3 linked regions of the Sus scrofa genome follow. The protein of the gene in region 3 purifies or fractionates together with the protein of the main gene of each other region. This does not show direct contact. Links are inferred from orthologs where the notes say so. Each region holds a gene or a part of one and is shown on either strand. Other genes may lie near its edges.

What was found.
Region 1: the proteins of PEX19 (region 3) and NAT14 purify together in Homo sapiens (co-immunoprecipitation; 3 studies listed by BioGRID and IntAct, counting the BioPlex papers as one, with this or other methods). This does not show direct contact. The link is inferred for Sus scrofa from reciprocal best matches to the Homo sapiens genes PEX19 and NAT14.
Region 2: the proteins of PEX19 (region 3) and PXMP2 purify together in Homo sapiens (affinity purification with mass spectrometry; 3 studies listed by BioGRID and IntAct, counting the BioPlex papers as one, with this or other methods). This does not show direct contact. The link is inferred for Sus scrofa from reciprocal best matches to the Homo sapiens genes PEX19 and PXMP2.

The regions. Positions count from the first base shown.
Region 1 is NC_010448.4:59,634,140-59,644,253, reverse strand, and holds NAT14 (N-acetyltransferase 14), read right to left. Parts: upstream 6,081-10,114; 5' UTR 5,965-6,080; intron 5,699-5,964; exon of another isoform or gene 5,621-5,698; intron 5,232-5,620; 5' UTR 5,188-5,231; coding exon 5,116-5,187; intron 4,338-5,115; coding exon 3,789-4,337; 3' UTR 3,187-3,788; downstream 1-3,186. Other genes in the region: soluble scavenger receptor cysteine-rich domain-containing protein SSC5D, read right to left, coding at 1-99, 263-382, 1,114-1,422, 1,704-1,730, 2,184-2,607. UniProt on the Homo sapiens protein: Probable acetyltransferase. May act as a transcription factor that regulates the expression of coproporphyrinogen oxidase by binding to a promoter regulatory element.
Region 2 is NC_010456.5:22,791,302-22,801,667, forward strand, and holds the start of PXMP2 (peroxisomal membrane protein 2), read right to left. Parts: upstream 6,719-10,366; 5' UTR 6,512-6,718; coding exon 6,390-6,511; intron 3,974-6,389; coding exon 3,857-3,973; intron 1,622-3,856; coding exon 1,459-1,621; intron 1-1,458. Other genes in the region: POLE (DNA polymerase epsilon catalytic subunit A), read left to right, coding at 6,894-6,955, 8,291-8,432, 9,069-9,149, 9,729-9,773, 9,941-10,033, 10,341-10,366. UniProt on the Homo sapiens protein: Seems to be involved in pore-forming activity and may contribute to the unspecific permeability of the peroxisomal membrane.
Region 3 is NC_010446.5:90,193,306-90,203,593, reverse strand, and holds the start of PEX19 (peroxisomal biogenesis factor 19), read right to left. Parts: upstream 6,609-10,288; 5' UTR 6,604-6,608; coding exon 6,420-6,603; intron 5,002-6,419; coding exon 4,892-5,001; exon of another isoform or gene 4,675-4,891; coding exon of another isoform or gene 4,579-4,674; intron 4,477-4,578; coding exon 4,311-4,476; intron 3,829-4,310; coding exon 3,743-3,828; intron 3,528-3,742; coding exon 3,366-3,527; intron 2,278-3,365; coding exon 2,101-2,277; intron 1,862-2,100; coding exon 1,817-1,861; intron 1,657-1,816; coding exon 1,573-1,656; 3' UTR 1-1,572. UniProt on the Homo sapiens protein: Necessary for early peroxisomal biogenesis. Acts both as a cytosolic chaperone and as an import receptor for peroxisomal membrane proteins (PMPs).

The sequences.
Region 1 (10,114 bases), on a different chromosome or scaffold from region 3:
CAGCAGTCAGCAGAGGGGCCCTAGTGGACTTGGCCTGCTTGGACGGCCTGGGGCTCTTCCTCCGAGAGGTGTTCTGAGGGGTCCCGGCTGGGCGGGGGGCTGGGCAAGGAGACAGAAGCGGGGAGGTTGGGAGCTGCACCTCCTGGGGCTGCGGGTCTGTCCCCAAAGCTCCTGTGCGTGGCGGGGGCCTTCGGGGGTGAGGAGGGCACGGGCAGCTCTCACAGCTGATGCAGGAGAGAGGGCATGGGGGGGAGCTTCTCACCAGGTGTCACGGGGGGCTCCTCCGAGCTGGGGCTCAGCTCCCCAGACAGCCCCGGCCACGGGTCCCTGTCCAGGATTGAAGGTGAGTCCTCTCGGTCCCTGGAGTCAGCCACACGCTGACCTTGGGAAGAGCAGTGTGGGGCTGGACCACACGGGCTCCGCTTTGTCGGCGCCATCCCAGGCCCGCGGTCCTGCCCGCTTCCCTCTCCGCAAGGCTGAGCTTTAGCCTCCTCACCAGGAACCCGCCCAAACCAGAGAGGTTCCCTCTCAGCTTTTACCCTTGCCTTCTTCCACTATGAACATGGGGTGGATGCCTACTGCCGATGCAGACGCCTAACGACCTAGGAGTAGTGGTGGTCATGAGACCCCCAGGTGGGGCGGGGTGGGGGGAGAACGAACGCCAGTTCCTGTTCCTGCAGACCGGCCCTTGGGTAGTCAGATGCTGTCTCTAGCGTTGGCCCCTTTAAATCTCCCTGCACCCTTTCAGGGGTGCAAAGTGCAGCTGCAAAGAAACGCCTCTGGTTCACTGTCTGCCTGAGCCTGCCTGCCTGCCTGCGAGTTCCCAACGATAAACCTCCTAATCCCACTTCAAGGAATTGCCCGCTTTGTTTATCAGTCTCAAAGGACCTTTTCGGTTCGGAGGGGGTTATTCCACATTCTCGCCATCCAACAGCCGGACGCTATGGAGCCTATGGAGGGGCAGACCCTGGGTGAGGCGGCGGCTGGGCCCTCCAGGGCCATGGTGAATCCTGGCTTTAGGGGCTGTCAAGGGTTGGGGCATCTGGACGTCTCGATTCTCAGGGTTACAGGGCTGAGGACTTGGGTTCCCAGAGAGGGCCGAGGGCGCCTTACCTGCACAGACGACACCGGCGTCCTCCTCGTGGGAGCAGATATGGGCCTTCCAGCCCCGGTGGGGGCAGAGGCCCAGCTGCCGCTCGCTGCCCCGACAGGCCAGCTCGCTCAGCCACACCGGCCCCGTGCCCTCCCCGAAGAAGGCCCCTCCAGGGGCGGCCAGCGCACCCCCGCAGCCCAGCTCCCGGCAGGCCACGGCGGCGTCCCGAAGGTCCCACCCGTCGTCACACACAGTGCCCCAGCGCCCGCCGTGCCACACCTCCAGGCGGCCAGCGCACCCATGGGGGCCATCAGCCAGACGCAGCCGCTCTGGGGGACAGAGGAAAGGCTGTGACATCCTGGAGACCCTGGGGCCAAGGGGAGGGGAGGGGCTGGGGGTGGAATGCCAGAGCGTGACTGGGAGCCAGCTCCCCCTGGCTGCTGATGCCGAATCCTGGGTGTCTGGGAGAGCAGTGGTGCCCCAGCCTCGTAGGAAGCACGGGGCTGGACGCCCAGGTGGTCCTGAGGGAAGTGGGTCCAGCAGAGGGCAAGGCTGGGCATGGGATGGAGCTGAGCAAGGCCAGAGGGAAGACGTGTTTGGGGCCACTTACCAACAGCCTGGATCCCCATCAGAGCCGCTGGAAGGGAGGTTGGAGGGGTGGGAGGGACAGAGTGAGGGCCTCACACCTCTGACCCAGAAACCCCGCTAGCTAGGAAGCAGGGCTCTGAGCCGAGGGCCTGGCAAGGTTCAGGTCCCTGAGGTGGGCGGGGCCCCAGACGCCTCAGGTCCAGGCAGGGGGCCAGCCCTTCGCGCTCCCCAGAGGCCTGGCTAAAGGTTAAAGGATGGGTGACACCCCACAGGGTCAGGGCTGGTGTGGGGGCGGCAGGTAGGTTCCTGGGGTGGGCCTAAGAGGGTGGGGCTGAGTGTGCCAGAGGCGGAGACCCTGGGGGATCAGGCCGGAGGGCAGAAGCCCCACATCCCCCGAGGAACAGGGACTGGCCCAGAAGTTGGAGGCCTCCCAGTGGCTGAGCTCAGGGGTCAGAGGGCAGGGCTCAGGCCCCTGCATCCCCGAGGAGAAGGGGTCACTCACCGAGGAGGCAGGCCAAGACCCTCATGTTTGCAGAGTCGGGGCGGGGATGGGGTGAGAGGGGACTGGAGCCGGAGAGGGAGGAGGTGGCGGCCACCGCTGGGAGGAAGGGAGGGAGGGCCGCGCCTGCCTGCTGAAGGCGCCTTGGACCCAGGGAGGAGCAGGCTGGGCTGGACGCTCTGCCAGGAGGAAGAGAGGCTGCCGAGGAGGCAGCAGGGGACAGGAGTGGGGGCGGGGAGGGGGCTGGCCGGCGCCTGAGGCCTGGGGAGGAGGGCGTTGGCAGGCGGGAGGGAGAGTGTCCAACTGCAGACACCCACGCGGGAGAAGGGCGGCCCGGCCAGGAGAAGGCACGCTGGGCTGAGATGCTCAGGGGTCGGCAGGCTGCGGGGAGGGATCCGAACTGGGGTGCACACGGGGGTGCGAGCATGGGGCGGGGCTCAATCTCCTCTCTGTTCAGCCAGGGAAGGCTGGTGGGACCAGGGAAGAGGGCTCTGAGGGTAGATGCACTTCAGCCGCCCCGGTTAGGGACCTGGCACATCTGGGGCTCAGGGCGCAGCAAGAGATGTGCAGCCAGACTCCAGGAAGGACTTTCTTGATTGAGACAGGAGACTAAGAAACCCCTCTCTCCACTCCCCTGGGGGATGTGCACACAAAGTCCCCAGCCCGCATCTGAGGGAGGGGAGCAGTGGTCGAGCTTGTGTGTCTCCTGAGGAAACTGAGGCCAGGGGTTGGGCCAATCGAGGGTCAGGCCTGAGTGGGGGAGGGCAGCCCCACACTCTCTCTCTGCACCAAGCAGCTGTGAGGCGGAAAAAATGCAGTAATGGGGAGCGTGAGTCAGAGGGCTGGCAGGGAGCAGGGCCGCCGCCGTGAGCTCACTGCATCCCCCGCTGCCAGTCCAGCACCCCCACCGACAGCTAATGTCAACCCTGGGAAAGGAGGAGCCAGCCAGAAGCGGGGGTTCAGAGACGGACTGGAAAAGGCATCAGAGAGAGAGAGGGAGATGGGCTCACAGCAGTTTCAGGTTTTATTAACAAACGAGTGTAAAAAACTAGATGGGTCTGGCTGCCCCGCTCGGCTCTCACCTTCCCAGGGAAGGGCTGGCCTGGCCGGGCAGCCCTGGGCCCACTGCCCCCCTCCCCTGGAGCTCTCTCCAGACAGACAGCCCTCCTCTGCCAAGGCTCTGCTCACCCCATCTCTGCTGCTTCTGCAGCCCCACCCCCTCCAAGCACAGGCATCAACCCCATCCAGTTCCCCAGGGGCCTTGTCCCATGAGGGGTGCCCCCGCCACGTCCTAACCCTGGGGGGGGCGTACTCGCTTAGCCTCCCTCTTCCCGCCGCACATCTCCCCAGGCCCGTGGCACAGGTGGCACAGGCGTGGCAGCCAGACGGGGAGGTCTCCCCGTGCAGAGAGAACCCGAAGCAGGGGCTGGACAGCGTGACCTCTCTGACAAGTTCAAACATGACAGGCAGACGTCAGACTGCGGTGAGGTCTCTTGCCTTCTGGCGGCCTCAGTTTTTAGGCCCTGAGTGGGCAAAGGGAGGGTGTCAAGTCGCCTGTGCACAGCAGCTGCTCTCTAAGCACTGGCTTCCTCCCTCTGGGGTCTGGAGTCACAGGTCCTTGCTGAATTCCCTCACCAGCGTGTAGCCCATGCAGCCCCAGCTCCCCTCGGCCTGGTAGCCGCAGCCCTCCAGCATCCCTGCCACACCCCACGCGGCCACGGCCACCGGGACCACGAGCCGGGCCCGGGGCTCCCCCATGCCACCTGCCCAGGCTCGAGCCCGAGATTCGGCAAAGGCCAGTAACCGCCTGCCCACACCTTGGCGGCGGTGCCAGCGAGAGACAGAGAGGCGGGTGACCCGGGCCCCATCCCCAGCGCTAGAGCCTGGGGCCAGAGCCAGGACCCCGCACACATCCCCCGAGCCCCGCACGGCCACCCAGGGTCCCCCTAGGCCACCCGGTGGGGGCAGCGAGCCCCACCGGGCCCGCAGACCCAGCTTCATGGCCGCCACAGCCAGGAACACAGGCAGGAGCAGGGCCAGAGCAAAGGAGGCCAGGACGAAGCGCAGGCCGCTGCTGGCAGCCGCCAGGAGGAGCAGGGCTGGAGGCCGCGTGAGGGCGTGGAGGGCCACTCGGTTCTCTGTGTCCTTCACACCAGCCTGCGGGCAGGAGGAGCAGTCAGAGCGGTGGGGCTCCCGTGGGGAGCAGGGACTGGGAGGGGGGGCGGACCCTGCTGGGGAGGGATCTGAGGCAAAGGGATGGCACTGAGCTGGGGCCTGTGGCAGAGGGGCTTGCGGGCACATCTGCCGCACAGGGGTTTAATGAGCAAGCAGGTGACTCAGGAGCTTGGCGGCGGCGGGTGTGTGTGTGTGTGGGGGGTCCTAATTCAGTGGAGACACAGGCCCGAGGCACCAGAGAAGGCTAGATGGAGGAACTGCCCCAAGCCAGAGCAGGATCACAACCCTGGACAACAGGAGAGGAAGCTGGAGGGGGAACCTGGGGGCACTCGAGGGCTAGGCTGAGGCCCGAGGGCTCTACTTTGAAGAGTGTGGGCGAGGAGGCTGGGGGCAGGGCAGCCTGGGAAGTGGGGAAAATAGGGAAGGAGTGGGTGCGTGGTGGGCTGCACAGCCCTGGAACCGTTAAAACTCTTCTGGACCCCCAGGGCACACAGAAGGTACTAAAAAGGGAAGGGGCCAAGCCAGGAAGTCCCTCAGGAGGAAAAAATAGCTCTCCAGGGATCAGGGCTGGCTCAGCGCGGCTGCAGCCACTCACCCCCGCCCCTTCCCAGGCAGGGTTCCGGTGCCCCCTCATTCTGTCCCCGTCTCCTCCAGAGCACGCGGGTGTCCAGCCCTCCCTCACTGCCCTCCACCCTCTCTGGCTCCTTGGCGCCCCGCCACCCAACGCCCCAGGCCCCCTGGCGGCCCTGCCCATTCTCACCTTCAGCATCTCCAGCACTAGGGGTTTCTCATCTTCCCTCATCTCCCGCACTGATAGATGGCTGGGTGCCATGGCAGCCCCCAAGCTCCTGCGCCCCCAAGGGAGCAGGCGCGCACCTGGCGAAAATGAGCAGGTCAGCGTCAGGAGGGCACCTCTGCTCCCCAGAGCGCCCCAGAGCTGCGGACCCGCAGCAGCATCTCCCGGATGAGAACAAGGAGGACAGTCGCGGCCCCAAGCGAGGTCCGAGACAGAACAGGGTTCCCTCTCAACCCGACCACCACTTTAAAGTCTCCCGGGAGGCCTCTCGGCCCCCAGGGGCGTTCAGCGATCTACGCCTGAAGGCCCCGTGTACGCCAGCACTTGGCAAGGCCAGGCTCCCTCCCAAGTTCCGTGGCTGCCCGACGGGTGAACGAAACTCCCCCTACAGCCAGGGAATGGACCGAGCTCCCCACCCCCCAATCGCCCCCGAAAGGGGTCTGTCGCAGGCACAAGAACTTGCAAACACCTCTGCGGGTCACTTTGCTTTTGACAAGTGTGTGTGGGGGGGAAGCAGGGTCTGGAAGGAGTAGCCGGCGGAAGTGACGTAATACTCGCGCACTGTTGTGGGGGTAGGCAGCGCCTGCCCTCAGCCTTAGCAACCACGGTCAAGCTTCTGGAGGGGGGATGAGGAAGGAGGGCGTGGGCTGGGAAGAGACTAGGGCAGGAGCAGCGACCCTGCGGCGGGGAGAAAGGGAAATGGGGAAAGGAGGGCTGTAGAAGGACCAGAGCCGATAGGGGTTGGGGAGGGGGTGGGATGGGGGGGATGGGAACTGTGGACCCGGCAGGGTGGGGGCGGGGAGCGGTACTTACCCGACGCGCGAAGGAAACACACGCTGGCCTCCCGAGGTCGCCTGGTTGCTCAGCAACCGGAGCGCAGGGGGGCGGGACGGCGAAGAGAGCGGATCAATGCTCATTGGTTCCGGAGCCTTCGCGGGAGGGGCCACGTCAGCATCCTGAGCCCTCTCGCTCTCACACTGGCCAACCCTAACCCACCCGGGCTCGGTGACTTTCGTGATGCGCATTCCCACCCACTCATCCATTTTTCCGTGTGGGGGGGTGACTTACGGCGAACAAGTGCCGGAGCAAGGATTTCCAACGCATCCCCCTATAATGATCCCTGCATCTCTTCTTTTTAGGGATAAACAGAGCCCCACATAGGAGAAGCGTCTGGCCCCAAGACGCAAAGCAAGCCACCTGAGAACCAAAACACAAGTGAGACTCCAAGTTCCCAGATGGTGGCTACGGCCATAACAAGGACCTCCCAGACCACCAATAAAACAAAAGCACAAGAAAGACGATTCTGGTCTTTATTAGCAAGCCCAGCCTGCAGCTCCCCTGCCCACAGTTCAGCTCAGCCCAGCCAATGCGGACAGTGAGTCAGGGTCTCTGTGTGGGGCGGGAAGAGGTACCAGTGGTTCTACTCAAAACGTGTGCACCAGCTGGACTGCGGGCAGAGTCTGGACAATCTGGATGGAGGGTAGGCCCTGTGGGGTCATACCCCCAGGTGCAGCTCCAGCAGGGACCACTTGGACCATCTGGGAAGCAGGAGCCCCAGGGATGCCCGCTGGAGTAGAGGCTGGGCCCGGTGGTGGGGTCAGCAGCTGCAGTGCAGCGGTACCTCCCCCCACGCTACTGTTCTCCAGCAGGTCGGTGGCTGCAGCACTGCGGATGATGAGCAGTTTCTGTCCCGGTGGGCCAGGGGCTGGAGGCTCTGCCAGCCCTGGGGGTAGGGTCTCTACCTCCTGCACGCACAGCTGCGTCTGCTCCCCGTCAGCCCCGCTCAGCACTAGCACACTCTGCAACCCCTCATCCGTCTGCAGCGTCTCCAGGAGCACATCCTGGACCACACCTGTGCTGGCCTCACCATCACCAGGCTCCCCAGAGCCAGGTGCTGCCAGCAATTCCTCAGCTGCCCCACCTTGAACCACCAGCAAGTTAGGGGCCTCGGTGGCCACGGCTCCCCCACTGGAACTGGACAGCTGACCTGCCACAGGCTGGAGCTGGACCGTGGTCACCTCCTGGGCCGGCTGGAGCTGGACCGTGGTCACCTCCTGGGCCGGCTGGAGCTGGACCGTGGCCACCTCCTGGGCCGGCTGGAGCTGGACTGTGGTCAGTTCCGGCGCTGGCCGAAGGGGCTGGAGCTGGACCCCACTCACTTCCTGTGGCCCTGTCTCCCCACCCCCCACATTCTGCAGAACTATAAGGCTCTGCCCACCTGTGCTGGCTGTGGTGTTGCTCCCTCCCTGAACCCCCAGTCCCCCAGGGCCTGGCAGCCAAACGACCCCAGCCCCCTGACCAGCCTTCCCCACTGTCCCTGGGCCCTGCCTTGCACGGCTGCCCCCACCACCAGTACCAGAGGGAAGCAGGATGAGTTTGGGGGGTGCAGGTGGGGGCGGGGGTGTGGGGGGCTGGACGCTGCTGGGAATCAGCTGGAGGCCCTGTGCGGTCTGCACCAGGAGAAACGTCTGGGAATTGGGGGCTGCTGGGCCCAGCGGTGGGGCCTGGGCCGTACCCCCTGCCACCTCTAGGGAGAGTGTGGCTTGGAGGTGGGGGAGGACGTGGACATCTTGGGTAGCAGAAGGGGCTGGAGCGGCAGCCAGTGGGGCAGGGGGCTGGGGGCCGGCAGGGGGGACTGCAGAGCCAGAAGCGGTGTTGGCCGGGGCATGCGTCCTCAGGTGCCGCTGCAAGTAGGCGGCCATGACAAAGCTGCGGCCGCAGATGGGGCAGGCGAAGGGCCGTTCAGCAGAGTGCGTACGCTGGTGCAGCAGCAGGTTGGAGGAGTGCGTGAAGGTCTTGGGGCAGAGCGGGCAGCGGAACGGCCGCTCGCCCGTGTGCACGCGCTGGTGCTGCCGCAGGTTGGAGGTCTGGGCGAAGCTCTTGCCGCAGACACCACAGGCGTGGGGCCGCTCGCCCGTGTGCACGTGCCGGTGGCGCCGCAGGCACGACGTGTTGCGGAAGGCTTTGCCACACTCCCCGCAGGCATAGGGCCGCTCGCCTGAGTGCAGCCGCAGGTGGTACTGGTAGTGCGAAGACCACTTGAAGGTGAGTCCGCACTGGCTGCAGGTGAAGGCCCGCAGGCCCGTGTGCACGCGCTGGTGGATGGCCAGCAGCGACGAGCGCTTGAAAGCCTTGCCACACTCGCCGCACTGGTAGGGCCGCTCGCCTGTGTGATCCCGCAGGTGGTAGCGCAGTCCCGACGAGCCCTTGAAGGCTTTCCCGCACTCGGCGCACTTGTACGGCCGCTCCACAGAAGCGGGGGCGGGCGTGGGGGCCGGCGGGGCGGCGGCAGGGGCCAGGGGTTCCTGGGGACAGGTAACCTCAGCAGCCTCGGCCTGCGGGGGCGGGCGCCCGGCCGCGGCCTCTTCCACGTGGCACTGCTGGTGCGCCAGGAGGCTGGCCAGCTGCGGGAAGGCGCCGTCACAGCTGCCGCAGCGGAAGGCCTGCCCACCCGCAGCCCCGTGGCTGTGCTGGTGGCGGGAGAGGCCAGCCACCGTCCGGAACGACTTCCCGCAGGGTAGGCAGGCGAAGCCGGGGGCGGCGGCGGCGGCGGCAGGGGGCTGCGGCAGGGGGGAGGGCGGCGGCGGCGGCGGCGGCGGCGGCGGGGCGGCCTTGGGAGCCTCTGTGGGCGCGTCCTGGGGCGGCGGTGGGGGCGGCGCCTCCGGCCCGGGGCAGGGCTGGTGCTCCAGGAGCAGCTCCTCGCTGCCAAAGCCCAGCTCGCAGCCGTCGCAGCGGAACACCAGCTCCACCGTGGTTTCGGCCGCGGCCAGAAAGAGCTCGGGCACCACGGGCGGGGGCGCTGGCGGCGGGGGCGCTGGGGGGCTGGGGGGCTGGAGGTGCCGCTGCAGGTAGGCCTCGGGAACCAGGCCCTTGCTGCCAGGCTCCCGCGGGGGGCGGGGGCGGCGCCGGGGGCGGGGGCAGGCGCGGCGCTGCCGTGGGTGCGCTGGTGCAGCAGCAGGTTAGAGGAGTGCGTGAAGGTCTTGGGGCAGAGCGGGCAGCGGAACGGCCGCTCGCCCGTGTGCACGCGCTGGTGCTGCCGCAGGTTGGTGCTCTGCGTGAAGCTCTTGCCGCACACGCCGCAGGTGTAGGGCCGCTCGCCCGTGTGCACGTGCCGGTGGCGCCGCAGGCTGGACGAGTTCTTGAAGGCCTTGGTGCAGTCCGGGCACGGGTAGGGCCGCTCGCCCGTGTGCTGGCGCAGATGGTACTGGTAGTGTGACGACCACTTGAAAGCCAGGCCGCACTGGCCGCAGGTGAAGGCCCGTAGGCCCGTGTGCACGCTGCGGTGGATCTGCAGCAGCGACGAGCGCTTGAAGGCCTTGGGGCAGTCGGGACACTGGTAGGGCCGCTCCCCCGTGTGGCCCCGCTGGTGATAGAGCAGGGCGGAGGAGCCCTTGAAGGCCTTGGGACAGTCGGGGCACTTGTAGGGCCGCTCTCCCGTGTGCGTGCGCTGATGGTGCAGGAGCCGAGATGACCAGCGGAAGGACTTGCCGCACTCCCCACACTCATACTGGGCAGAGGGAGCCGGAGCCACGGGGCCGGGCTTCTCCCCGGCCCCCTCTGCGGTAGAGGCCGGTGCCATGTCCGCGTGGGAGCCGACCATCACACCTGAGGAGGGATTCCCGGTCAGGGGAGGGCAGGCGGGGCCCCCCCCTACACCCACACATCTTAACCCCAAACCCACAGGCTGGCCCTTTAAGAGGCAGGGGGTGCCCCCTCCCCTTTAGAATGAGGGCTTTCTATGGTTCAGGCCAGCCCAGGGTGGAAGACTTTAGGTATGAAGAGGAAACTCAGAGCAAATTGGGAGAAGCTGGCCACCACTCTCGGCCTGTCCCGCAACCTGCAGGCCGTCTCCTCCAGTGGGCTGGACGGCTGGGTGTGGCCTTCATGAGGCCAGGCACTCAACGCCTCTAGCGACAGGCAGTGCCTTGATGAAGGCTGGGGTCTCTAGCGCCTGGCTTGGGAT
Region 2 (10,366 bases), on a different chromosome or scaffold from region 3:
GTTGGGCATATTAGAACAGACATTCCTGGTAATTCCAAGTGAACACACCTCAAGTGTTCTGTTGCGACGTTAAGTCTATGCTGGTGGGGTTCCTGTTGTGGCTCAGCAGTAAATGAATCCCACTAGTATCCATGAAGATTTGGGTTCCATCTCTGGCCTCCAATGGGTCAAGGATATGGCATTTCTGTGAGCTGTGGTGTAGGTTGCAGTCTCAGCTGAAATCCGGTGTTGCTGTGGCTGCGGTGTAAGCTGACAGCTACAGCTCTGATTCGACCCCTAGCCTGGGAACTTCCATATGCTACAAGTGTGGCCCTAAAAAAAAGTCTGTGCTGGTAAGTTAACCTCTTCAGAGCACTTTTGATGTCCAGACCCTGAGTTAGCACAGGCTTTTCTGCAACATCCTTAGGGAGCTTAAACTTCTGGTACCCTGGATCTCTCTGGCAGTCTGGTGAAGTCCACGGACCCACTTCTCAGAATCATGTTTTGTGAAGTATAAAACATGTAGGACTGGAGTTCCCATTGTGGCTTAAGAATCTGACTAGTATCCATGAGGATGTGGGTGGGTTAAGAATCTGACTAGTATCCATGAGGATGTGGGTTCAACCCCTGGCCTCACTCAGTGGGTTAAAGATCTAATGTTGCTGCAAGCTGCAGCACAGATCATGGATGCAGCTCAGATCTGGCATTGCTGTGGCTGTGGTGTAGACCAGCAGCTACAGCTCCAATTGACCCCCAGCCTGGGAACTTCCATATGCCTTGGGTGTGGCCCTAAAAAAATAAAATATGTAGGGCTACAAAAAATCCAATTATACTGAAGTACAGCTATCAAAATATTCAGAAAACAATTTTATGATAGACTGGTACATGTGTTTTTTTTTTTTAGGGCTGCACCTGTGGCATATGGAAGTTCCCAGGCTAGAGGTTGAATTGGAGCTATAACTGCCGGCCTACACTGCAGCCACAGCAACACCATGGGATCCAAGCTGCATCTGTGACCTATACCACAGCTCAGGGCAATATCGGATCCTCAACACACTGAGCCACAACGGGAACACCCTGTGCTTTTTTTTTGGCTGCCCCCTTGCCATGTGGAAATTCCAAGGCCAGGGACTGAACCTGCACCACACAGCAGTGACAATGCTGAATCCTTAACTTGCTGACCTACCAGGGAACTCGTGCATGTGTTTCTTTATTAACATACTCAGTGATGGGACCTGGCTGCAGGTATAAAGAATGATGGAGAACACCCACTACCTGGGATTGCTACCACAAGCCAACAGGCGCTGCTGACCCAACTGAGGCTTGCTTCCAAAGTTCACAAAGGAAAATGTGAATTTTCAACCTGAGTGTAGTGAGGAGTTCACAGACTCTCTGAAGTCCAAGCACAGGTGCCAGGTTAAGAATCCCCATGCCCCGAGGAAGAGCTGTCAATGCCTGGGTGCTACTGCAGACACCAACCTCCAGGAAGTTCATGATGAGGAAGAACAACAACAGGAAGGCGGGTGCGAAGAGGAGCCGGTCCAGGAGGAGCCTCTGGACGCTGGCCCAGGGGGCCTCAGGAGGGATCCAGTGCTCCAGGAAGAGATAGAAGAAGTGACTCAGCGGCCCTGTGAAGAAGAACCTGAGGCCGGCAGAGGGGGTGAGCGGGACACACCCTTCCTGGGTCCAGCTTCACCTCCCAACCCCGGATCCTGCACCCTGCCTCCCTGAAGTCCCTCAGCCCTGACTGCACAGGTTTGTGAGGTCCTTCTTGAAAATATGCTATGAATTTACTTCCAGCTTTTTTTTTTTTTTTTTTTTTTTTTTGCCTCTGACAGGCCAGGCTTATTCCTGCCTCGGATCCCCTGCTTGTCACATGGCTGCTTCCTTCCCAACACCACTGGCTTCGAGCGCTCCTCCCAGATGGTCCTGAATAACGAATCTACTACTGTCCCAGCCACTCTATATTCCAGGCCCTGTTTCATTTTCTTCAGCGCATTTAGCACTGAATGTCATGAACTCATTTGTTTAGAGTGACTTCTCTTCACCCCTAGAGGGTAAATGCCATGAAACAGGGTCTGTCTGCTCACTGCTGTGTCTGCAGTACCTAGAACAGGGCCTGGCTCAGAGAAGGTGCTAGGTAGTAAGCAAATAAATGGATGCTTTGCCTGGTGTTTGAGCTTTTCAGCAAATCCTCTGGGATCGCTAACAGGGCTGACACCTGATGCGCTGGCTTGTCTGTATTGCTACTATTCATTCTAAAGTGCACAGAGTACTCAGGAGAGGCCTGAACCCAGCCACCAGGTCTAACAGGATGACAGACCTGAGGCTTCAGAAGATCCAGGATCAAAAGATGGGCAGGGGCTCTGGGTGCTTCCAGGTAGACACCAAAAGTCCTTAAACAAGCAGTTCTCACTTGACTGTCCCCTTTCCCTGCCCTTTCACCTTTCATAGAATGTTAAGTGGTCCAGAGCAGGGCTTTTCAGGTAGAAGAAAATGTAAATCTTGGGGATGGAAGCTGAATGGACAAGTTCTTCCAGGCGATTCTGATACCCTCTCCCCTCTTGGGGTTGGGGGGGGTTAGGACTTTATTTACGTATTTTCTTTTTTAGCTGCCCACTGGCATATGGAGTTCCTGGGCCAGGGATCAGATCCACGCTATAGATGCAACCTATGCCACAGCTGAAGTGATGCTGGATCCTTAACCCACTGTGCCAGGGCTGGTATCTAACTCAGCGATCCCAAGATGCCACTAATACTGTTGTGCCACAGCGGGAACTCCAGATTTTTTTTTTTTCTTTTTTTGGTCTTTTTGTCTTTTTAGGGCCGCACTTGCGGCATATAGAGGTTCCCAGGCTAGGGTCTAATTGGAGCTGTAGCCGCTGGCCTATGCCGAAGCCACAGCAACGCCAGACCTACAGCACAGCTCACGGCAATGCTGGATTCTTGACCTGCTGAGCCAGGCCAGGGATCAAACCCGCAACCTCATGGTTCCCAGTCGGATTTGTTTCCGCTGCGCCACTATGGGAACTCCTAGAACTTTAAATACATTGTGGAAAAGCTGTGATGACTCAAGTTAGCATGCTTACAGATATAAAAATATTACTTGCGAATTCTGAATTAAAAAAAAACAACACTTTTATTGCCAAAGACTTCAGAATATCCATCACTGCAAACACTACTGTTGCCAGAGAACTCAGAGTGGATTTAACTGGTAAAACTGCTGAATTTCTGTGCTTTTGCAATTCAAAAAGTGGTTCAGAAATGACAATTTTCAGGATCCCTAAGTATTTCTTTTCTGTATGTTTATGCTACAAAAATAGCAACACAAACTAACTGGCTGTATTTGGGTCTGGATTCCTCTTTCAGGATCTGCGGGTCTTGAAGTATGATTTTAGGTTCAGGCCATCCGCTCTCAGGTGTCTCAGCCAAATTAAAACGGCCACCCCCACCCACCTGTGTAATTCAAACTAAAAACCAGGGGGAGGGAGTGGGATGGTCTGGGAGTTTGGGGATAGTAGATGCAAACTACTGCATTTGGAATGGATAAGTAATGAGATCCTGCTGTATAGCACAGGGAACTATATCTTGAGATGTAACATGATAGAGGATAATATGACTGGGCCACTTTGCTGGACAGCAGAAATTGACAGACCATTATAAATTAACTATAATAGAAAAAATAAAAATCTTAAAAATAAAAACCAAATGAAACCATAAGTGAAGTTAACCTTATCCACCACTCTGATATTTTCCCCATAATGACATCAATGCTTCTGCAAAATTATTTTTCCAAATTAGACTATGCCAGGTCTTGACCTGAGCTTTGTGGCACTGAGCCTGCTCTTGAGTAAACCAGCCCCTTTGGGGAACTCACCCATAAATGGCATATCTGAGAGGCCCATTGACATCTAGCTTTTGAGAACAGCTTTCTTTTTTCTGCTTCTTCTCAATCATCTGGGCCAGGAAGTTCCCAAGTGCTGACAAAATGCCACTGTGGACAGAGAGGTATTCAGAAAACAGAAATGACCTACAGGAGGCATCTGATGTTCCTGCATGAAATTAGCATGGCAGGTCTACGAACGTGCTTGGGACGGGTAGACATGAACCTTTATTAGAGCAGCCAAAATATAAGTTCTCCATCTCAAAAGCTGGAGATGATAGAACTTAATACACATGCACACACACACACACAAGCACAGTAAGATTTCCAATTGGTAGGTTGTACTGATGTCATATCCTGCTTGTGATATTATTCTATAATTTTGCAAGAAGCTACTGTGTGGTTATAAAAGGGCAACAGGAGGGATCCTTATTTATTTATTCGATTTTTTCTGCTTGTAAGGGCCAAACCCATATCCTATGTAAATTCCCAGGCTAGGGATCAAATTGGAGTTGCAGCTACCAGCCTACACCATAGCCATAGCAAGAATCTGAGCTGCGTCTTTGACATACACCACAGTTCACGACAACACTGGATCCTTAACCCAAGGAGCGAGGCCAGGGATCGAAACCGAATCCTCATGGATACTAGTCATATTTGTTTCTGCTGTGCCACGATGGGAACTCCCAGGAGGGATCCTTATGATGAAACTATTTTTGCATTTTGACTACAGTGGTGGATACACATACCTGTACATGTGTTAAAATTGCATGTAACTAAACATACACACAACCACACACTCATGGATGAGTACAAGAAAAGCTGAGGAAGTCTGAATAGGATCTAGGGATTGTATCCACATCAGTGTCCTGATTGTGATACTGTACTATAGTTTGACAAAATGTTGCCAGTGGGGGAAACTGGGAAAAGCAAAAGGGATCTCCCTGAGTTATTTCTTACAGCTGCATGTGAATCTACACTTATCACAATAAAATTTTCAAAAAAAAGGTGGAGACAGGCCTAGGTGCTCAAAGGCTTGGTCTACGGCTGCCTTCTGAGAAGATCTCCAATCTATAAAATGTGAAATTCTTAGTAGGGGCAATAAGGACCCTCTTGACCTGATCCTTGGCTACGTGTTCCTCAACCTCTCCTTTGCTCACTGTTCTTTTTCTCCAATGGCACAGACCTTCTTTCCAGGTCTCCATTATTAGCTTGCTCCTCCCTCAAGACCTTTGCATCTACTGTACCCTCTACCCTCTGCTTTCCTTCTTTGCATGGCCTGCTCCCTCCCTTCCTCAGGCATGTATGTATGTATGCATGTATGTACGTGTGTGTGTGTGTGTGTGTGTGTATGGGCCCACTCATAGCATGCAGAAGTTAGTTCCCGGCCCAGGGATTAAATCCCTTCCACAGCCGTGACTGGAGCCATAATAGGGACTATGCTAGGTCCTTAACCCACTGAGCCACCAGGGAACTCTGTCAGGCCTCTATTTCAAGCTTTGTGGGTTTTTTTGGGTTTTTTTTTTTTTTGTCTTTTTAGGGCTGCACCCATGGCATAATGAGGTTCCCAGGCTAGAGTTCAAATCGGAGCTGTAACTGCTAGCCTATACCACAGCCACAGCAACACTGGATCCAAAACACATATGCAACCTACACCACAGCTCAAGGCAATGCCAAATCCTTAACCCACTGAGCGAGGCTAGGGATCAAACCTGCATCATGGATGCTAGTCAGATTCGTTCCAGCTGAGTCACGACAGGAACTCCCCAAGCCTCTATTTAGATGTCTCCTCTTCATATAAAACTCCCCTGACCACTTTATCTGTTACATATTTTTCTGCTTTTTGTCTAGTTCTTTCTTCCAACACAAGCTCTGTCAGGGTAGGGCCCTCACCTACTTATCTTAATCGCTGCTCACATTTACCGAAGCCTGAATTAGTAAAAGGGGACACGCTTGTAAAATTGATAATTTAAAAGTAATTAAGGGGAAAATGGCTCATAAAAAAATTAATACTCCAAAGAATAGGGCCGAGCTAGCCAGCAGCACTGGGGGCGCTTTGTCAGCTTTCTCTCAAAGCGAGAGAAAAAGCAGCTGGAGAAAACAAGACTTAACACCTACCACCCGTGTAGCCTTCCCACGCCTTTCCCAAAGGCATGTACCTCAACGCCATTCTAATCCTCAGAACAAATGAGTACTAACCAGCCGCAAGGCAGCAGCAGATGGCAGGTGACAGACCTCTCTCCCAGCCCCATTCACCTCGGACGGGCGTTACCCCCAGAGCAGAGGGGCTGAGCTCGTGCGCTCCTTTACTCTGGTCCCTGGGTCCGTATTTTTAGGAACCGAACGCACTAGACCGCACGTGCTCAACTTTCCGGTGAATTTAAGATCTCTGGAGGGTTGTTTCGACGCACGGGGATTTTGCCTTTCACACTCAGGCCCCCACGTAGAATACATCTATGGGGCTGGGTCACCGAGTCGTTCGAGCTCCAGGTCGCCCCCCGCCCGCGCCCGTTCCCTCCGCGCCGACCTGGTGGCCGCCTTGGTGAGCACCGGGTAGAGCCGCAGAAGGCGCAGGTACTGGGCGAGCGCCCGCCGCGGGAGCGCCCCGAGCCCGGCTTCGGTCCGCAGTTTCGACGCTGCCGGGGCCATAGTCTTTCCTGAGCCGCGCCCGCCAGGGGCACCGACCCCACTGTGGGCTACCTGAGTGCGGGGTAAAGGGCGCCGGGCGCCGGGCGGGGAGGGCCGGACATTTCCCGCCCCGCCGCGGGCCGCAGGGCCGCCGGGGACAGACCCTAGGGTGAGCGACACACGCCTCCGCGGACTTTTTCCCGAGTCCCTAACCAGCCCCCACCCCCCCCTAGGGCGCCAGCTGCGATTGGCGCTCGGTTGGGCGGGGCGCAACACGCCTCCTGATTGGGCCGCGTTGGCGGTGGGAGGGGCCGCCTTCCGGTATCTCGCGAGATTTGGTGGGAGCGCGCCAAATTTCTCCAGGGAAGTGGTAGCGGCGGCAGTGCAGGCGCAGCACGGTGCGATGGTTCTGAGGAACACCGGGCGGCGGCGCGCGGAGCCCGGCCCGGAGGGCGAACCCAGCCGGTGAGGGGCGGCCTGGCCTCCCGGGCATGCAGAGGGCGGGCTCGGCCGCCCTTCTTTTCCGCCAGAAGCGGCGAGAGCGCTCTGGGCGCTCTCCGCGGCGGCAAGACTGGGGTCCGGGTTTGAGAGTCGGGGGTCTCTCTGCTGCTGCCCCTCGCCCCCGAGGTGCCGCCTCTGCACCCCCGTCAGCTTGTTCGAGGCCCTCGCGAGTGGCCCAGCGGAGGCGCGGGTGGGGAAGGGACGCCGGATGAGAGGAGTGTCTCTGGGACTGAACCGAGAGGAGGGACTGCGCGGGAACCTGGGCCTTTGCCGACTCTTCACCCTGCGGGGTAGTTCCTAGGAGGGGCTGACAGGCGTCCCTGTCAACGCCACCGTCGCTACCGGTGACCACAGAGAGCTGGCTGAGGCTTTGTGCTCTAACCTCCAGCCCCCCCCCCCCCCCCCGCGCTACGCGGCATTTGTGCTGGAATCGAGGCGGCAGAGATGCGAGGCATGGACCCGGGTTCTCTCCCTATCCGGCCCCTTGCTTCCCTCGGACTCGCTGCATTCCTTAGGGCGGCGGATGCCAGCGAAGCTGCCAAAGAAGAGTCGCTTTTGACTTTTCGCAGAGTGCTCGGACAATGTCTCATTTAGTAAACAGTCAGTATGGTAGTTATCTTTGTTACTGTTGTCTCCATTTTTCAGATTTTCTACTGCCACGGGATAAACAGTGAGTTATACAGCTCCCCAGAAAAGCCTCGAGAGGTGATATGGTCCAAGTGAGCAGTTTTCGAATCCACTTAATCCCACTCACTTGGTAACAGGATGGCACCCATGCCGTGGTATTTGGAGGAATGCAGTACAGAGGGCTCCCCGCCCACGGGGCGATCCTCCATAAGTAGTATTTCATTCAGTCTTGATCTGATAAAAGTTATCTTATTGGGAGTTGCAGTCCTGGCACAGTGGAAACGAATCCGACTAGGAACCATGAGGTTGCGGGTTCGATCTCTGACCTAGCTCAATGGGTTAAGGATCCGGCCTTGCCCTGAGCTGTGGTGTGGGTCGAAGACGCAGTTCGGTTCTGGCGTTACTGTGGCTCTAGCATAGACCAGCAGCAACAGCTCTGAAGAAGGTTATCTTTACTCTAGCAAGGCCTGAAATACAGTTTTTCTGCATTTTTGATCTAAGGTGAATCCAGAGATTTTTATTTTATTTTTGGTGGGCAACTCTGCAGTCTGTGGAAGTTCCTAGGCCAGGGATTGAACCCATGACACGTCTGAGATGCTTACTCTGGAGGGATGAGGTTGGGGGGGTGGATGGTGTCATCAGTGGAAACTAGACCGTCCTGCTTTCCCTCAGGGATGATGGCCCCTCTTCCTCAGTCTCTGCGCTCAAGCGCCTGGAGCGCAGTCAGTGGACGGATAAGATGGATCTGCGGTTTGGGTTTGAGAGACTCAAGGAGCCTGGTGAGAAGACAGGCTGGCTCATCAATATGCACCCCGTAAGCACGTGCTTTCCTCCGACTTCCCGCTCCCGTGCAGGATTGGGCTGCATCCTTGTGGCATAGCCCTGGTCTGAAGAGTAGGTGACACCTGGCAGGAACCTGTTTGGGCGATATGGGTGGAGAGGAAATGGCTCTCCTACTTTGTTCTTCTTTAAATTTCTTTGGGTCATTGTCATGGTACAGTGGAAACGAATCTGACTAGTGTCTATGAGGATATGGGTTCTATCCCTGGCCTCACTCAGTGGGTTGGGGATCTGGTGTTGCCCTGAGCTGTGGTTTAGGTCACAGAAGCAGCTCAGATCCTGAGTTGCTGTGGCTGTGGTGTAGGCCAGCAGCTGTAGCTCTGGTTCGACCCCTAGCCTAGGAACCTCTATATGCCAAGGGTGCGGCACTAAGGAAAAAAAAGTTTGTTTGGGTCATAAAAACGCCACTGGGTTGACTGAGGTGAGGGGCATCTCTGTTACCCCTAAGAAATGAGAGGGAAAAGAGAAATTCCCATCTGGAGGCTTTTATGATGTGGTTCTTGTGAGTGGGGCTGGTGTTTTTAAGTGCTAGTTTCCCAGAGAAAGAGGAAAAGGCTCTCATACTGTGTAGAGGATAACCTTGTGCCCGTGTTGACTGATTTTCTTGTAGACTGAGATTTTAGATGAAGATAAACGCTTAATTAGTGCAGTGGATTACTACTTTATTCAAGATGATGGCAGCAGATTTAAGGTAAGCCTTTGAACCCCGAGAAGCAAAAAACCCCTCAGTAATGAGACATAGCTGTACCCCAAATGACAAGTGTTCTTTTAGCTCTGTACCTGTGAGGTGAGAGGGGATGGGAGGCCTGTAGTGCACAGCCACCCAAAGCTCATCAGGAACTTGGGTCCCTTGGAGCCGCATTAGTCGCTTAAGATGCCCTAAGAGGAGTTCCTGTTGTGGCTCAGCAGGTTAAGACTAGTAACCATGAGGATGTGGGTTTGATCCCTGGCCTCGCTCAGTGGATTAAGGATCCGGTATTGCTGTGAGCTGTGGGGTAGGTTGCAGATGTAGCTTGGATCTGGCATTGCTGTGGCTGTAGTGTAAGCTGGCAGCTGCAACTCCACTTCGACCATTGACCTGGGAACTTCCATATGCAATGGGTGTGACCCTAAAAAAAAAAAAAAAAAAAAATAGTGCCCTAAGAGAAGCTAGCTTGGAAGGAGTGCAAAATGGTCAGTGTTGTGTCCCTTATATTCCTCAAACAACCTGTCTTCATTTTTTTCCCTTTTTTCTTTTTCATCCCCCCTGAATGGGTGGTGACTCTTGCAGGTGGCCTTGCCCTACAAACCATATTTTTACATTGCCACCAGAAAGGTAAGTCTGTAATTCATGGCATCAGGTCAGATGACTTGTGTCTCATTCTTTGGTTGGGGTGGGGGTAGGGGCTTCATAACTGGACATAAAGAGGTTTCTGGAGAAATAGGCAAGGAAGGAAATCATTTATACTAACGGGAAGTCCTTTCATTCTAATCCTGATTTAGGGTTGTGAACGAGAAGTTTCATCTTTCCTCTCTAAGAAGTTTCAGGGTAAAATTGCTAAAGTAGAGACTGTCCCTAAAGAGGATCTGGACTTGGTGAGTATCACCCAGCCCTTTAAGGGTAAATGAGGCCAGGCCCACCCTGCTTGTGGGGTGAGATGGGAAGAGGACAAGTTAGCACTTGTGGGGCAGGGCAGGTGTTGGGCTTTGGTGACTATCCCCACATCCTTTTAGAGGACTCTAGTGGCTTGCTTGGTGCCACATGCAGAGTTGGACAAGGTGCTTTGGAGTTGCCAACTCTTCAACTCATTGAATTACTTTTGAGTTGTTCTCCCCTTATTTTCTCTCCCCCGTAAAGTGTTTTTTCTCCTGAACTCACGAGCACCATTTGTTTACTCTGTAGCCAAATCACTTGGTGGGTTTGAAGCG
Region 3 (10,288 bases):
AACCTGAGGGAAAGTCACGTGCCAGGGGCTCAGAGCGACACAGGTGATGAGTGTGAATTTGCTCTGGTAGTTATTTTCTGAGTGCTGAGCCAGGACAGCCAGCTGGTCTGACTGAGTATTCACCAACATGTGGCAGCCAGAGAAGGGAAAGGTCAGCTCAAAGGAAAATAATTTAGAAAACACATGAACACTATATAAATAACATTAATAAACGTAATGTGAAATGTTAGAATACCGCACCATTTGAGGAGCTTCCCAAAATGAAATACTCAAGAAAACAAGGAAAGATGGCATTCAGTCTCCTTTATCAACTGAGTTGCCGACTGGGCTGGGCAAGGGAAGATCTGGTGCTGCTGTGAGCTGTGGCGTAGGTTGCAGACACGGATTGGATGGGGAGAAACTTAGCCTGGGCTGGGCAAGGGAGGTGGTGCCAAAACCCAGCACTGTCACGCTCTGCAGAACTAGTCTGCTGATATTCCTCAGCAGCAGCTTAGAGGAGCTGAGGAAGATCGGGAAAAGACTTGGATGAAAAATAGGCTACAATCCTCACTCAGAATATTTATTAGTCAGGAAAAAGGACCCAGGTTGCACCCCACCCCCTTTCCCCAAGCCACCTCCCTGAACCAAGGGACAGGATTCAAAGGAATCAGATGTCTCAAGTAAGCTGGAATGTATCTGGGGAAGAACAGTCATTCAGTTCCTAGACCTGACACTATAATCACATATGTCTGCCAGGGAGAAAGGGGGCCACTGAGAATGGTAGAGACTAGAGGGGAATCAGGATGGGTCCTTCTTTCTCACAGCTTGGGCTCAGAATAAAGAGGTTTTTGATATGGAGAGATGAGAGGGCAGGCAGGAGGGAAAGGATGGTCAAGGACTGGGTTCTCCCAGATCACAGAGCACTGCAGAAAGAACCAGGGCAGCTCTCTGAGTTCTCAGGTTGGAACCAGGAGCTGGGGGCTCTGTACCTGGAGAGAGAAGAATCCCAGCGTTTCTTTTTCAATCTACAGAGATTAGATGCAACCCCCTCACTTTCTCTTCAGAAAATTCAGAACGTCCTGAAGGTAAGAGGGTGTAGTGACAGACCTGTAGTCCCAGCTCAGGCTAAGTTTCTCCCCATTCATTCCCAAAGGCCCTGCCCAAGAGAACTGTAGAAACAGAGTCCCAGGACTCTGTCCCTGCTCCCCGGGGTCCAAGAGAGGGAGTAGAGACAAGGCACAAAGACCCTGGGTACAAAAGTGAACATTAGTGTGGCCCTACACGTTATCTTGGGAGAGGGAAGAAGATGCATGCCTTAAAACCGATGCCTCCTTCACCTGGTGGGGAGCCGGGCCTTTGCTAGCAGCAGAAACCACAATGGAACGGGCTCACAGAAATGAGCTGTGGAACAGGCCTTATTCTCAGAAAGACAGAGAGAAAGCCTCAGCTGGTATGGCACAATCTTGGGTGGGATGACAGATGGCAGTGGGCAGACCACTCCTGTAGACGACACTCCTGCCTCAGCTCCCAGTGGTTCTGCTGACTCCAGACGTTCCCCACAGCTGGGAATCAGGAAGGAAAGCGTGCTGTGTTTCACATGATCAGACATTGTTCGCCATTGGCACCTGGTGGGCCCGATAGATTGAGGGCATCCAGGTCAAAGTTGAGGCCAGGAGGCTGGAGAAGAGATGAAGGGACTCAAATAATTTCCTAATTCAGGTCAGAGCTTTTGAAGGTTCAAAAAAAGCCACAATTATCACCTTAGGTGGACCCGCTAGAGGTTACAGAGTTCTGGAAACTTGGGCTCAGATTAAAGTATATGAAAACATATACTTACCATCTCCCCAGCCAGCTCTTTTGGAGGATGACCCAAATCCTGTAGCTAGAAAATAAGGAAAGAGAAACATGAGATAGGGAAAAATCCCAGAAAACAACATGGCAGTCCAAAGGAAGAATCTGAGCTATGGTCTCTATGCTTTCTCCCGAGGACCATGCTATGTGGCCTTTCTTGTGCTCCCCCTCCCGCCATCTTGGTTTGGCAGTGGGGCATCCTTCCAGGACACCGCCTCCACTGAACTTCCAAGCAGACAGCAGCAGCGAGCAGATGGCAAGAGCCCTTACCTGCTGCATAAGATCCAGCACCACCTCAAAACGAGCCTTCTGAGTGGCCTCACTGTCTGTGGGGGTCTCAGCCTCAAATTGCTCACATATCTTGCCCATGACACTATGTTGCTCCTGATATTTTTCAAACTGCTCTGGAGGTAGAGATTCTCGGTGAACCTGCAACCATTCTGGATACTAAGAACAGAGAGAATGGGTGGGGAAGAATTAAGTGGATAATGGTTTAGTAAGAGCACTAAAATACAAACAAACACTAAAACATGAAGGGGACAGGGACAGCAAAGAAGGAAAAGCCAAATAAGCAAATTTAGCAGGAGAAGTAGCAGTGATTTCAATCAGATCACTGGGCGATGCTAGCATTCACAGTCACCAGAGGATAGCAAACTTTTCCTGTGAAGGACCAGACAGTAAATATTTGAGACTTTAAGGGCCACATAGTCTCTTTTGTTTGTTTTGACTTTACAACCTTTAAAAACCTCTTCAGGAGTTCCCCTGTGGTACAGTGGGTTAAGGATCTGGCACTGTAACTGCAGTGGCTCAGGTTGGTGCTGTGGCATGGGTTTGATCCCTGGAACTTCCACATGTCGCACACACAGCCAAAAAAAAATCTCTTCAGTAACACTATAAACTCTTTGATGGCAGAAATCATCATTTAATCTACTCTTAAAATTACTTTTGTCTTTTTAGGGCCGCACCCATGGCACATGGAGGTTCCCACGCGAGGGGTCTACTTGGAGCTACAGCTGCCGGCCTATGCCACAGCCATTGATAGCAATGCCAGATACGAGCTGCGTCTGCAACCTACACCACAGCTCACGGCAACGCCAGATCCTTAACCCACTGAGCGAGGCCAGGGATCAAACCCACAACCTCATGGTTCCTAGTTGGATTCATTTCCAGTGCACCACTCCGGGAACTGCATAATCTACTCTTAAAATTATTCATAGTTTAAAGCCAGTAAAATTCTCAGTAAAACCTTGTTGGAGAAACGAATGCAATTGGAAATGCAAGAAGGGGCTGATGAGACAGAGTCTTAGATAAGTTTACAGGAAACTAGAGCTGAAGGATTTCCCCTTCTACCTTAAATATCTTTAAGATGCAATGCCTCCCTAACTCTCTCCTTCCAAATAAATAAGGAAGAAAGAAACAAATGAACCTGTGCACTTCAGTTACTTTAACTTTGCAGGCTCTAAACAGACAAAGTAGCCCATGGAGGTTGATACAATGCAGAATGAGGAGGAAAAGCATAAATAGAAGTTCACAACCTTCTCCGTAATCTCCTTCAGTGACGGGTACAGTACATCCTTGGACAGCAGGTTCTGCATGATACTCTGCATGATGGGGAGTATGGTTCCTTCTCCATCCCCTTCTTCCATGCCCAGCCCTTCCATGGCCTTGGTCAGCTCCTCTTCTGACATGCCCGAGTTCTAGAAAGGATAGGGGAGAGGTGAGCAAGTATACTGCCTTCCTGGGATGCTGAGCAATCTTTCAGGTGGGAAAGAACTGTTTAAACTTGCCTGTAGCAAAATAGTGAGGCAGGGACAGACTTGAGGTGATACTCAAGGGAGTCTGTCTTTTGAGACTCTGCTGGTGAAGTGCCTGCGAGTGGGCCCCTTGTGGTTCCCTATCTCTTTCCCCTCACCTGAAGGTCGGTGGCATTCTTGGCTAGTCCACTTAATGTCTCCTTTAGGCAAGAAGTGAATTCTTGTTGGGAAGTCGCATCACTGCCTAGGAGAGATAAAAAGAGTCAAGGCCATTTCTGATTTCAACTGTTTGCTTGCCTAGACTGACCTGGTCAATCTTGAATACTCCAGCTTGAATATGGAGCATTTATTAGTGAATCACTGGCACGCTACATCTTTGAATTTTCTATGGTTATCTCCACAGTTATTTTCACAAATCTATGTGGACTGTGTGTCAGTCTGTTCTCCACAGTGACACCCACATTAACACTGTGACCTTTAAAATGGTCAGCTGTCAATAATTTCATCTGTTACTTCCCAAACTATCATTTCCCAACTACCCCTTTCATTAAACAGGGTCTCATTTCTCCTCCCATCTCCTCCCTTCAGTGATATCAGTGACATGGTTGTGATGGCAGTGATATCATAATTACTATCAACTTTACAAAAAAATTTTGGTGTTCTCAAGAAACAATGACCTAAGAGGTTTGTTCAGATATTTCTAGTTGTCTAGGGCCCCCTTCTCACCCACTCTCCCAGCAGCCTCTGAGAGCTTTTGGAACTGCTCTACCAGGTGGGGCTCTTCCTCAGCCAACTCTTTCATTGCCTTCTCGAACTCTGCAGTGGCTTGGGAAGCCAACTCGCTGTCGAACAGCTCCTGGAAAAACTTCTCTTGGGAGGCGAAGAGGGCATCCTGCAGGGGAGATGTGACCAAAATGCATCTCTTACTTGGCAACTCACTGCACATGGCCTCTGAGAGAAGCTCTAGGAAATGTAGTGCTCCCCTCCTACTCACCTCCACTGGACATTGACCACCTCTCTTAAAGAGGACAGCAAAAAGGCATCTGGCCACTGAGGGAAGGGTATGGAGTGGCATTCCCAATCCAACCATTTAAATCTGCTCTCTTCTTAAGGAACTTAACCTTGAGATCCCTCCCCTCAATCTCAAGTTCCTGTTTCATGAGGACTGAGGCCTGCAAGAGCACTTTGCAATGTAAGGCCAAGGCACCCTCCCCCAACTCCCCTTTGGCCCACAGGGGCCTTCCCCACCTCTGCCCAGAGCTGCATGCCCATCCCCTCCCCATCCCTTAAGCGAGTGGAATTTATACTTTGGCAGTGTCTCCTGGAGATCTCTTCTCAGGCCCCGAAGCATCAGGGGCCGTGGTGGTAGGAGGGGGTGCTGGGGAGGGTTTGGTCTTATCGAAATCATCAAGAGCACCTTCAGAGACAAGAAACATGGGGTGTTTTGGGGATGGATGAGGATGAAAGGTTGGGAGTTTCTGGGCAAAACATTAAGAGTACAAACTGTCAACTTTCCTAAAATTTTCTCCTTTAAAAGTCTCCCAGCCCACCCCTCAATAAGCCTCCCACTTCCCTACCTATTGTCTAATTTAATGTGATAAAGGGGAAGACATCCCTCAAGGTGGAACAAGCATCTCTCTTGGAGTTAGGAGAAGAGTTAAAAGATTTGCAGAGACACCTCCACCGACACAGTGCCTTCTCTGCCATACTTTAATGATTCCCTAGAAATCCCATGCAAATATCCAAGGGAGGCAGAGACCAGATGTCCTTAACCCTCTGAACTCACTCTGGAGCCCTCAAGGGAGTAATCTTGGGCAAGAGAGCAGAAGCCACAAGATGTTTCACCTAGCTTCGCATAGGTCCTTGTACAAGCTGAGAGACTCCATATTACACACCATTGGAGGGCACTGAATTCTCTTCTTTTATCTTTCAATTTAGCTCTCCCTCTCCAAAGCTCCTAGAGCTCCCTTTGGCCTCATCTCTGCCTACACCCGTGTCTGCCAATTCACACAGTCGCCTGGCACTTCTCACCGTTTCTGTTCGTCTTTCCACCTGCTCACATCTCTGTGACTCAGCAAGAGACAAAAAATATTCACCTCTTCCCTGAAAAGCCTGTGTCCTCACCATCACCCTGCTTGCCAGGCCTAGGGGTAGGGCACTGGCCCCACTCTGGGCAAGAAACCAAAAGAGGAGTGGTGGATGGGGCTAAGGAAGAAAAGTTCCGCCACCCACTTTCGAGAGGGTGAACTGCCTTCCCCTGAGGCAGTCTCACTCTGGTTCTCAAATTAAAGAGATAGGAATGGGTTTGAGCTCTGAAATGATGAAAAAATTGGAAAGGAGCCTGGTGCGAAAAAGGTCTGGGAAAAGGAAAAGACGTGTCTTTTGTGTTAAGGAGGACAGGATACTGCACATAAAGGCACGCTTCGGGCTTGCTAAGAGTTAATGGAGGCAATCCCATGGGTGTCCAGTTCTCTGCCCACCGAGCACCGAATGTGGTTGCTGGCGGGAAGAAAGTTAGGCTTCCAAGAACTTACTAAAGTAGGGGGAGTTTGGAGCGGGATCCCGAAACATCGTCCTCTGGACTAGTTTCCCTTCCGGCAAGGAGATCAACCGTCTAGGCCGCACAGGGACGCAAATGCGATCCTCAGCCTCCGCCAAGGAGGAAGGAGAGGGTGACCTAGAGATTTTCTAGGGGGTCGCAGTCAGACCCTCCGCCCCCGCCCAACCTCTGAAGAGCCTCTCCCGCTCCGCCTCCTTTATCTCGGATTCACTTGGCCCCCTGAATGCGTCCTCACACCTCCCGCCCTTCAGGCCTTTTCTATTACGGGTTCTTACTTTCCAGAAGCTCTTCCAATTCCCGGTCCGCTTCAGCCCCAACACCACCACCCTCCCCAGCGGCGGCCATCTTGCCACCTCCGACTTGCCGTAGGAGGCGGGACTGCGCGGCGCCGTGCGCCCCCCAGTTCCTGCCCCCCTGCCTCGTGCAACCAATGATATTGTTGGCCCGAGGGGCCGCCATTTTTAAAGGTACAGGAACCTTTGTTTTTGTTTGGGGTTCCCCTCTCCCCGCCTCTTTCTCCGGGAACACTGAACCAACAGAGGGGAATTTACTGTTATCTTCTGTCAGGGTTTTTACTGGCCCGGCCTCCTTTCTTTCAACTGCCCACATTACCTACAGAATTGGGCCTTTCATTATTTTTTTGAGCTGCGGGTAGGTCGACTGGGACAAATTGCGTGCAAACTAAAAGCTATGCATGTATAATCAGTAAGACAGTTATGGCACAGCCAATATGCTATTTTCCTCTCACTTTCTTCAGTATGTTACTGAAATGCCACCTTCTCGGAAATGCCTTCTTTGGCCTCATTAAATAAAATTGCAACCCCTCCCATACACTTACAGATGCTTCCTCTCTACTTCGCCTCTTTTTTTCAACACTTAACCACTATCTGACATATTACATATTTTACTGATTTATCTTTATTGTCTCTCCCCCAGGCTCCTTGGAATTAAAGCACCATGACAGAAAGGATTTCATCTCTTGTCTTCACTGCTGTAACCCCGGCTCCTTGGCTAGGGCCCAAAACTTAGTGGGCACTCATTGGCTGCTCTTTGCTCTCCAAGGCTCTAGTGAGGCATGCTTCTCTGCAGAATCTAGTGGATAGCTCTCATTTTGTATTCTCCATTAGAAATGTCACAAGAACTTAGAACCCAATGTTAGTTGAACCAGGGAGTAAGTGACTCTCGGACCTTGGACTTAAGTGAAGAGGGCAACTGGAATGCAGTAGTAATAAACCTGCCTTCTTTGACCTATTGTCTTTTCTCTTCACAGGACTCAACCCAATGAAGTTGGGGGATGCTCAGATAAAAGACAACTCCAGACTTCCCTTCCCTCCTCTGGAATTGTTCTATTCAGATTTGTCAGAATGCATCAACTGCCTCAGGAAAACCTATTTTAGCACTTACAAGGCATCTACTCTTGTTTAAGATCCTGTGCTAGGAGTTCCCTGGTGGTCTAGTGGTTAAAGATTTGGTGTTGTCACTGCTGTGACTCCGGTTCAATCCCTGGCCTGGGAATTTATGCATGCTGCGGGTGTAGCAAAAATATTTTTTTTTTTGTCTTTTTGTCTTTTCTAGGGCTGCACCCGCAGCATATGGAGGTTCCCAGGCTAGGGGTCTAATCAGAGCTGTAGCCGCCAGCCTACGCCAGAGCCACAGCAACGTGGGTGGGATCCGAGCCACATCTGTGACCTACACCACGGCTCATGGCAACGCCGGATCCTTGACCCACTGAGTGAGGCCAGGAATTGAACCCTCAACCTCATGGTTCCTAATTGGATTCGTTAATCACTGAGCCACGACGGGGAACTCCAAAAAAAATAAAAAACATTTTAAAAAATCCTGCGCTGGGCATAGTGGAGGATGGAGAGATAAGTCAAGCTGCACTCTTGCAGTAAAGCAGTTGACTGGGGATTAGGCTGGTGGTAGGATTAGACATACACAGTAAGTATGGTGCAAGGTTAAGTGTCTTAAAAGAAGTAAGGATAAAGTACCATAAAGTTTAAAAGGGAGAAGTCACATCTAATTGAAAAAAGTCACTTCATGACTTTCATCCTTAGCTTTCTAAACACACGCTTGAGTACTGCATCAAGCACCAGATTAGGTACTTACTTTTTCCTTGACATATAGAGCAGACTTTAAAAGTCACACCTGTGCAAAATTTACTGTATTCTTCCACGTGCCAGTCTGTGACTTGAGGGAAAACACTCTGAACTAGAAGTCAGAAAACCTAAATTCCAGTCCCAACTATCACTAAATTGCTTCGTTCAAATCCCTTCACCACTCTAAGCCTCTTATTACAAATATGTAACATTAAAGTTGCGACTCTAAGATCACTTCCAATTCTAAAATTCTATAATTGAATCCTTCTCTGATTAACCTTTCTCAACATTGGTAACATTTATTCCAGGCTAACTTTCTCATTCAACTCCATACTGCTTACATGTGTATCTCTAATATGGCTATCATTATTGCAGGTACACGTGACAAGTATTTCTATTGGCTTTACATTAATATAGTGTGATATATTAATAAAATAGTAGACAGTAATTGAGAAAATTGAGATGGAGTTGAAAATAAGCACAATTCTTTGTGCCCTTTCTGTCTCCCTCCTTTTCTTCCTTCCTTTCTTGTGCCACACTCAAAGCATATGTAATGTCCCTGGGCCAGGGATTGAATCTGAGCCGCTGCTGCAACCTAAGCCACAGCTGTGACAACACTGAATCCTTAACCCGCTGTGCCACAGTGGGAATTCCTTGCACTATTTCTTAAACTTACTTTGCTGTTGACACGCCTAACACCTCATCTCAGTATTTACTCACCTCCTGCCTTTCATGTATAGTGAACACTGTTGCAAAGCAGTATTTTACAGGAGTTCTCTTGTGGCACAGCGGGTTGACCCACGCCACTGCTGTGGCACAGGTTCGATCCCAGGCCAGGGAAATTCCACGTGCCACAGTATTTTACAGCATTTTCTTTATATTACTCTCCCAATTAAGAACTTAATGTCTCTCCACTGTTTGAATAGCTAACTGCAAATTCTTGCCTGTTTTTCACAATTATTTCACATTTATCCTTTTTGTTTCCCCAATTACATAAACTTCATGGGGATGGTCCACTTTTTTCATATCCCTTAGTTCAGAATGTTTATATTTGTATGCAAAATTAATTTTATAATTCAATTTTTAAGCTTACAAAAAATTTTGCCAAAATTTATAATCAACTTGCCTATGGTTAAATTTAAAAAAGAATGTCTAGGAGTTCCCACTGTGGCTTAGCAGGTTAAGGACCCAACATGTCCTTGAGGATGCAGGTTTGATCTCTGGCCTCACTTAGTGGGTTAAGGATCTGGCATTGCCAAAAGCTGCAGTGTAGTTTGCAGATGTGGCTCAGATCCAGTGTTGCTGTGGATGTGGTGGCATAGGCCTGCATGTGCAGCTCTAATTAGACCCCTGGCCAGGGAACCTCCATGTGCCGTGGCTGCAGCTGTAAAAAGAAAAGAAAGAAAGAATATTTAGGAGTTCTCCTATGGGAAGCAGTGGGTTAAGGAGCCTGTGTTGTCACTGCAGGGGCTTCGGTTGCTGCTGTGATGGGTTTGATCCCTGGCTTAGGACCTTTTTTGCCATAAGTGTAGCCAAAAAAGAAAAAATAAAAGTTCATAATTTGAGAAAGTGTTATTAAAATAATATGTAAACTTTGGAGAAGAGAGGCTTAATTTGGAGATACTATGTTTAAGAAAGCATCTCTTTTTTTTTGGCCACACCCTGCCCCACAGTATGTGGAAATTCCCTGAGCCAGGAATGAAACCCACTCCACAGCAGTGACAAAGCTGAATCCTTAACTACTAGGCCAACAGGGAATTCCAAGTATGCATCTTTTAAAGCTAAAAAGATACAAAGTCCTTCACTTTTTTTTTTTCGGTCCATGGACTACAGCTGCAAAAGTTTCCAGGCCAGGGATAGAACCCAAACCACAGTAATAATTTGAACCACAGCAGTGACAATGGAAAGTCCTTAACCTCTAGGTTACCAGGGAACTCCACAAAGTCCTTCACTCTTTGATGTAGGACTCACACTTCTGGTTTATTCTCTAGACACACTTTCCCCATTTATACAATGTATGTTCAAGTTGTTCATTGCTGCACTGT